Cricetulus griseus: one gene and its partner. The protein of the gene in region 1 interacts with the protein of each later gene in a pairwise test. Links are inferred from orthologs where the notes say so. Each region holds a gene or a part of one and is shown in the gene's direction. Other genes may lie near its edges.

The links.
Region 2: the proteins of Zmynd19 (region 1) and Kctd13 interact in binary tests that used the Homo sapiens proteins (3 or more experiments, as listed by UniProt). The two-hybrid records come from large-scale screens. The link is inferred for Cricetulus griseus from reciprocal best matches to the Homo sapiens genes ZMYND19 and KCTD13.

What each region holds. Positions count from the first base shown.
Region 1 is NC_048599.1:136,305,883-136,309,694, forward strand, and holds part of Zmynd19 (zinc finger MYND domain-containing protein 19), read left to right. Parts: intron 1-409; coding exon 410-516; intron 517-1,109; coding exon 1,110-1,250; intron 1,251-3,812. UniProt on the Homo sapiens protein: May be involved as a regulatory molecule in GPR24/MCH-R1 signaling.
Region 2 is NC_048596.1:73,818,164-73,822,075, reverse strand, and holds the start of Kctd13 (BTB/POZ domain-containing adapter for CUL3-mediated RhoA degradation protein 1), read left to right. Parts: upstream 1-1,400; 5' UTR 1,401-1,577; coding exon 1,578-1,821; intron 1,822-3,372; coding exon 3,373-3,542; intron 3,543-3,912. UniProt on the Homo sapiens protein: Substrate-specific adapter of a BCR (BTB-CUL3-RBX1) E3 ubiquitin-protein ligase complex required for synaptic transmission.

The sequences.
Region 1 (3,812 bases):
ATGGACACTCAATCTCCCTGTCTTCAGTTCCTGAGTGCTGAGATTTCAGATGTGGACCATCACAGCAAACTATCTGTGAACTAGACACAGATAGTTGTGAGCTACCATGTGGGTGCTGAGCATCAAGCCCAAGTCCTCTGAAAGAGCCACCTCTAGTGCCACCCCCACCCCACCCCACCGCTTTTCTGTACCTTTTTAAAATGGGGAAAAATTTATTTCTTGGTGTCCATAATATTTCCTAAGCTGTTGAGGGTTTCTTGCTTGAGTGGAACAGGAAGCCCCAGTACTTTTTGGGTCCTTGAAGCAGGATGTCATCTGTACCTCTGACATTTTTCTAAGCTACATTTGAAATGTTGCTGTGAGTTGGAGGCTTTCCAACAGACCTACTCTGCTCTGTGCTTCTTCTCAGGCTCGAATGGAAGTAGATGCTGATGGAAATGGTGCTAAGATATTTGCATATGCCTTCGACAAAAACCGAGGAAGGGGCTCGGGCAGGCTTCTGCATGAGCTGCTATGGTGGGTATTTTCCAGCTAATAAATATCCCCACCTAATCTCCATGTGAGCTCTGATATGCACAATATGCCTAAATGCTAGAGAGCATTCTAGCCAGTGGAGTCAGATTCAACCTTATCTTCCCTAAGTCTGGGAGTTTATTTTGTGACCTTTACCACTAACCCAAAGGAGTGACTAATGTACATACCACTTTAAACAACTGGTGGGATTCTGATGAGACAAGATCTATGGAAGAAGGGGTTCTGCTTTTGATCCCTCTGATAAGTCAGGCTACATCCTAAGAAAATGAACTATTGATCCTGGGTGTATAAGGTGGTTTGAAATGTTGAGACCTTCCTGAAGGGGAACTTGTCTCTAGATTGTTTTGGTGGTTTGGGGGGTTCTATCCATTACCCTCTGAGCAAAGCCCTTAAATACAGGGACAGAATCATCAGCCTGGTCCCCTGTTTGTGTTTAGCTTCTTCTTGGTATACCCCTTTGGCAGGGTAAGGGCCCAGTTCAGACTACATGATTGACATTTCTGTGTGGTTGAACATTCATGCTCAAGTAGAAGTGCTTGAGGGTCTTTCCCTCAAGACAAAAATTCTTTCCCTAGGGAACGACATAGGGGAGGTGTGGCTCCCGGGTTTCAGGTGGTACATCTCAATTCTGTGACTGTGGACAATCGCCTGGACAACCTGCAATTGGTACCATGGGGCTGGCGACCCAAAGCTGAAGAGACCTCCAGCAAACAAAGGTGGGTTTTTCCTGGCCAACACCTGGCACCTAAATAGCCATCTCATGTTTCTGTGTTCCTATTTTAGGCTTTTATTATGAGTGTTTTGGGACCTTGATATCCTACCTGCTATTGTCAGTTTTGGGGGGAGCATTTTTCATGGGAGAGGGAAGAATTTTCTGGAGGTGGGGAATCTCCCTGTCTGCCTTGGAACTCAGTATGTTGATCAGGCAGATAGACTCCTGCCTCTGTGCTAGGTTTAAAGTTGTATATATACCCCCATGCTTAGCTAGAAGAATTTTTATGACTAATTTTTGGGATTGATGGGGTGTGGTTTTTGTGTAATTGGCTCTAGGAACGTTTTAGCTAATGTGATGGAATGAGACCATACCCCAAGACCACATACAAGGGTCTCTGTCGTGTTCCTTTGCTGAACAGCTTTCCCTGAGCAATGGTTTAAAGGAAGTAGTTCGACAGTGGCTTAGGGCCTGGGCCTCTTGGTTTCCCAGTTCCCTGTGGTCTGAAAACAACACTGCACAAGCTTTCTATTCTGGAGATCATGTTCTAGCTGGCCCTGATCGCCACAGTGAACTTCATGAAGCTTTGGAGAAAAGCTGAGGGACCAGCAAGAAATGGTTAGGGGAATTTGAGCCCATAGTCCCAAGCCACACAGGTATCAATGACCTGTTCTTAGGCCTCCCCTGAGGGCTTCTGGGAGTTTTCTATACATGTCCTTAAGTCTCAGCAACCTTCCTTGGCACTGACCACCTCAACAGATGCTAGTAGCGTTGATGAGGTCGGTGTTGTAGATAGTGGGCAGATCTTTGTAGCGATTGTTTTCAGGTGATGCTAGAGCTCCATGTACTGTAGATAGAAGCTGTGGGAGGACCCAGCCTTCTACACTTGATGTTTAGTGTCAGTATCCAGGTTCTTAGAAGACAGTTGCCAAACTGCTGATCTACTCTTGCAGAGTGTGAAGACAACCCTGTGAAGGCTCAAACTTCTAATCTGCTTGGTTTCTTTCCTACTCTGATACCAGAGGTTTGAGTCTTCAGTTTTGTCTTACCTCTCCCTTCCTACCCCTCTTTTTTTTTTTTTTTTTTTTTTTTGAGGTTCATTTAGCTTACGCTGGTTTCAACTTGCTATGTAGCTGGGAAGTTGAGACTGGCCTTGAATTTACTAATAGTAGGGTCCCCCCAGGGTGGTATGACTATCCTGTGGTTGAGTGGGGTCTTTAATCTTTTGAATATACTTTATGATCATGAGATATAACAACTACAGTTAAAAACCTCCATTTGGGAAAGGGCAGTTACAGTCCTGGGGGTAGAGGGCTGAGGTTTGTGGTCAGATGGCCCATTGGCCCTTTGCTCAGCCAGTTTTGGGCTAAGTTTGGTTGAAGCTGAGCCCTTCAGTAGGTAGTACCTCTTGCTGGTGGAGACAGGCTCAGATTGGACCAGGACCCAAGAAGCATATCTGGTATGTGTATAAGCAGGTGTAGAGGGAAAGAATGGATTCATGTGTTTCAGGGAGGGAAATGCTTGAGGCTGTGGGCACATGGAGTCAGAGGAGGATGTTCAGTGTCCTTGTTTGTTTGTGAGTGAGAAGGGGTTCAGTTAAATGGCACCTGTGCAGAAGTCAGCCATGCCTCTCCAAAGCCCCATACAGAGTCTGCTTTACTCACCTATGGTCAGCAGCAGTCATATTAGGACTGTCCTGGTTAGGTTTCTGTTAATATGATAAAATACCATGACCAAAAGCAACTTGGAAGAAATGGTTTATTTGGTTTACCCTTCATGTCACAATCCATCATTGAGGTAATTAAGGACAGAAATTCAAGCAGCAATCTGGAAGCAGAACTAAAGTAGAGACTACTTGGGAGCATATTATTTATTGGCTTTCTCTCCATAGCTTGCTTACCTTGTTTTCTTACATGGCCTAGGCCAACTTGCCTAAGAGTGGTACTACCCACAGTGGTTTGGGCCCTTCTATATTAATCATCATTCAAGAAAATACCCACACAAGCTGGGCCTTGGTGGCAGGGACAGGAAGCAAAGGCAGGCGGATCTCTTTGAGTTCGAGGCCAGCCTGGTCTCCAGAGCGAGTGCCAGGATAGGCTCCAAAGCTACACAGAGAAACACTGTCTCGGGGAAAAAAAGGAAAGAAAGGAAAATGCCCACACAAACATGCCTACAGGCCAGTCTGATAGAGGTAATTCCTCCTTGAAGCTCCAAGTGACTAGTTTGTATCAAGTTGGCAGAAACTAACCAGCATAATTGATCCTTTGCCAATTTAGCACATTCTCCCTTCATTTGTCTCCAAAATCTAATGTTGATAAACTAATACAAAACCAAAAGCCAACATATAAATAACTTGATGTCAGACATGTGAGTCTCACTCCTAATCTCTGGGTTCCACAGGGTTTGGGCAGCTCTGCACCACTTCTAGCTCTGCCTTCCATGCATGCCACAGCTTATTTTGTAGTCTCATGCTAGGTCTGCTCCACGTTTGTCCTTGGTGCTTATCCCACAGTCCTTGCATTTCCTGGGATTTCCAACTAAGGCTGTGTCTTATTTAGCCAGTGGC
Region 2 (3,912 bases), on another chromosome or scaffold:
AACTCCAAAGGGGTGAAGACCCAAAGGTTCAGAACTGCTTCCATAATGTGTATCTGTGAGTACAAAGACCCTGCATACCTCCTATAATAAAGAGTCAGAAGAAAAATTGTAGGAGGTGGTTGTGTTTGGTCATTTATGTGTCTTGTGTTCAGACATGATTATGGAAAAGTCTTTTTATCAACCAGAGTGTAACTTTGTCTGAAATTGGTGTTTTGTGAAATTGTGCTGAACTGGCTGACACCACCACGGCCTCACTATTGGTGCTAGCCTGGCTCCCGGCAACACCACTCTCTTGCTTCAGGCAAGAGAGTGCAAGCCAGCTGCCAGGAACTACTTTTTCATTGCCATACTTGCGGTGGGGGCAGGATAGGCAACCCCCTTTGTCAGAACATGGAGTCCCCTCATTACACTTCTTTCTAATACCTTCCAATAGGTCCACTTTGCTTCTCCAAACCGCCCCCTGTCCATGGCAAACAGGTTTGCTCCCACACTAAAAGAGCCAACTGGACCCAGAAAGAGCAGCTTTGCCCAGATCTTCCGGTTGGTGATCAGGTGGAAACTAGAATGCTGACTTTGGTTTTCCATGCAGCAAACCTCCCTTCCAGACATTAGGACAGGCCGAGGTATCAGCTTCTAAACAAACAAACAAACAAAACCACCTTCTCTGGTCCACAGTGCACTCTGCCTTCTTTCTTCTCTTTTGGGATTCTACCGTAGGTCTCCCGCCAGCTGGGATTCTAAGATCTTCACTAGCCTGTCCGGCTGTATGTTTTCAATCTCCATGTTCCTGCCTAATCGTTCTCCTTTTGTTTTGAGACAGGTAAGACTATGTACCCGAGGCTGGCCTGGAACTCACTTGTCATCCTGCCTCAGCCTGGAGGGCTGGAATTACAGTCACACCTGGCTCAGGTTTCTATTCGCCCTTCTCTGCCTGAAACTGTCTTTATCCCTGGACGCTTCTTTTCACAATCACCTTATCCGTTAAGCCTTCAACCTGGGCGTCCTACTTCCAGTGCCGCTTCCCCTGGGAGCCTTATGGCCTCATTGGAGAACTTTCTTTGGTTTCTGTTGACTGTTCTTCCTAGAGTCTGTCAAGTGCACTGTGGTGGGGTAGGGAAAACCATGGCCAACGTCCAGACCTCTGTACGTGGTTTCTTTCACGCGAGTGAAGCGCTCCGCAAACTGAGACCGTCACGGGCTGAGGTCGTCTCCGTTCACACGCACAAGGAGCAACGGCGCCGGGCACTTTCTCCATCTAGACGTCCCCGAGAACGTCTGTCTGCACGCCAGACCGCCAAGGCACCGGCAGATCGCGCTTGCTCCAGCTCTTGGCCCCGCCCCGGCCCTGGCCCCGGCCCCGCCCCCTGCCCCGGCTTGCCGCGCCTGCGCAGCTGCCCCCGCCGGCTTCCGGGTGGAGCGAGCGCACGATGGGGCGGAGGGTGGACGTCGCGGAGTAGCGGCGGCGAGTGGGCGTGTGCTCCGAGCGGTCGGGCGCCCGCGCTGGAGTCGCGGGGTCTCTGAAAGCCGGTCCGGGACGCGGAGAGAGCCTGCGACTGCCCCCGCGTCCGCTCACTGGCATGTCGGCCGAGGCCTCTGGCCCGGCGGCGGCTGCGGCCGGATGTGTGGAGTCCCCTAAGCCCTCGGGTGTGGAGCCTGGCTCCCCCTCGTACAGTCTGAAGCCCCTGACCCCGAACAGCAAGTATGTGAAGCTGAACGTGGGCGGCTCGCTGCACTACACCACGCTGCGCACCCTCACTGGGCAGGACACCATGCTCAAGGCCATGTTCAGCGGCCGCGTGGAGGTGCTCACAGACGCCGGAGGTATGCGTGCCGCCGGTACACGTGCTGCCCTCCAGCCCCCAGTTCGTTCCCGGTTCCCCGTCCCATCCTATCTTTTTCTTATTCAAAGTCTTCCTCCTTCCCCAGTCCTTTACTTCCAGCAGTAACCTCTGCCCAACACTCCATTGCGGATGATCTTCTCTTCTCCCCTTAGTTCAGAAAGCCTGGGAACCAGCCCTGCTGCAAGCAGCCCCCCTCAGACAACCTTTACCACTTTCTTCCCACTGCCCAGCCTTTTGTTTGCCTTTCTGCCTTAGAACCGCCAACAGGCAGCCTGCAGAACTGAACGATATTGTGTGTCTGTTTCTAACACATGCCCCTGCACTCTCTAGGAATCACCTATAAATGCAGATTGTAGAAGGAGAAGACTGCTTTGGGTTTACAAGGGACCTGAGCGAAGGGTGCAGCTCTCCTTGGCAGGTTAACCTTAACCTTCTTTGAGTGTTGCCTTTAAAATTGGGAAGGTATTAACAAAGATGAAAGCAAACGCTTAGGAGGTGAAGTTCAGATTTCAAATATTGGCGATGAAGAGATCAGTTATTTGATAAGTATTTGTGAAGAGTCAATTAGTGCTAGAGAAGGTTTGGTTAAAGGGATCTGATGAGTCTTACAAAGTTACCACGGGGGTGGGGGTGGGGTGGCCAGGGAGAGCATTGGGTGGGAATGACCAGTAAACCAGAAAATCACATGTAATCATAGAGTAAGTTCTTTGAATAATGTTGTCATTATTTTATTATTGTGGTCAACTAGAGGGTTGAGGTGGACATTTTCACTTAAATGAATTGGTTAAAAATAGCAGAAGGGATTAAGTTTATTGATAGGTAATTCGGTACGAATTTTCCCACTGTAAGCTTGGCTTGTTGGCACATGCCTATAATGCCAGCTCTCAGTCTGGGCTTCATAGTGAGATCCTGCCTTAAAAACAACTGGCTCTAGGCTGGAGAGATGGCTCAGAGGTTAAGAGTACTGGCTGTTCTTCCAGAGGTCCTGAGTTCAAGTTCCAGCAAATAGATGGCAGGTCACAACCATCTTCTATAATGAGATCTGATTCCCTCTTCTGACGAGCAGGCAGAAAACTGTATACATAATAAATAAATAAATCTTAAACAAAAAAAAAACCAAAAACCCAACTGGCTCCGGGCGCTGGTACTGCACACCTTTAATCCCAGCACTCAGAAGGCAGAGGGAGGTGGAACTCTGTGAGTTTGAGGCCAGCCTGGTCTACAGATAGAATCCAGGACACCAAAGGCTTCACAGAGAAACACTGTCTTGAAAAACAAAAACAAAACAAAACAACAACAAAAAGACTTGCCCATGGTGAGAGCCTTTTGACTGTCCAGAAGACTTGGGGAGGGAGTTGTTCTGTGGCAGGTGTGTGGCAGGTGTTCTGTGGCAGGAGATGTTTGAAAGAGTTCTTGGATAAGGCAAAAGTTTGACACAGGTAAGTATTTAGGTTTTCTTTTGGCTTTGGAATTCATTTTCTCAAAACGTATTAGAGTCAATCCTTCCTTTTGCCTTTTCCCATCCCACCAGGTTGGGTGCTGATTGACCGGAGTGGCCGACACTTTGGTACAATCCTTAACTACCTGCGGGATGGGTCAGTCCCACTGCCTGAGAGTACTAGAGAACTCGGGGAGCTGCTGGGTGAAGCTCGGTACTACCTGGTCCAGGGCCTGATTGAAGACTGTCAGCTGGCACTGCAGGTGAGAGTCCCTGTGCTTCCGTTCTTGGGGGAGCTATCCATTAGATAGCTATTACAACAGAAGCTAGAGAGAGATGGTCTAGAGAGCCTGGCTCAGACTGGGCATAACCCCCAGGCTTATGGGATTTGGGGTACTATCCTCCGAGGCACCCCTGCCCCTTGAGGCAGGGCTGCAATACACCTGGTGTCAGGACTGTTCTCATTAGAAAACCCTGCTCTGTGGTTGCAGCTGTTCCTGCCCAGCTCTTACTACCTCTTGAGTCATTAAACACAACCCCTGCTCATCCTCTCCTTTGCTCTGAAGGCTTGAGCCTCAGTTGGAGTGCTTGAAGAAGTCAGTCACAGGACGGCTTTCTGCCAGTTTTCTCCTT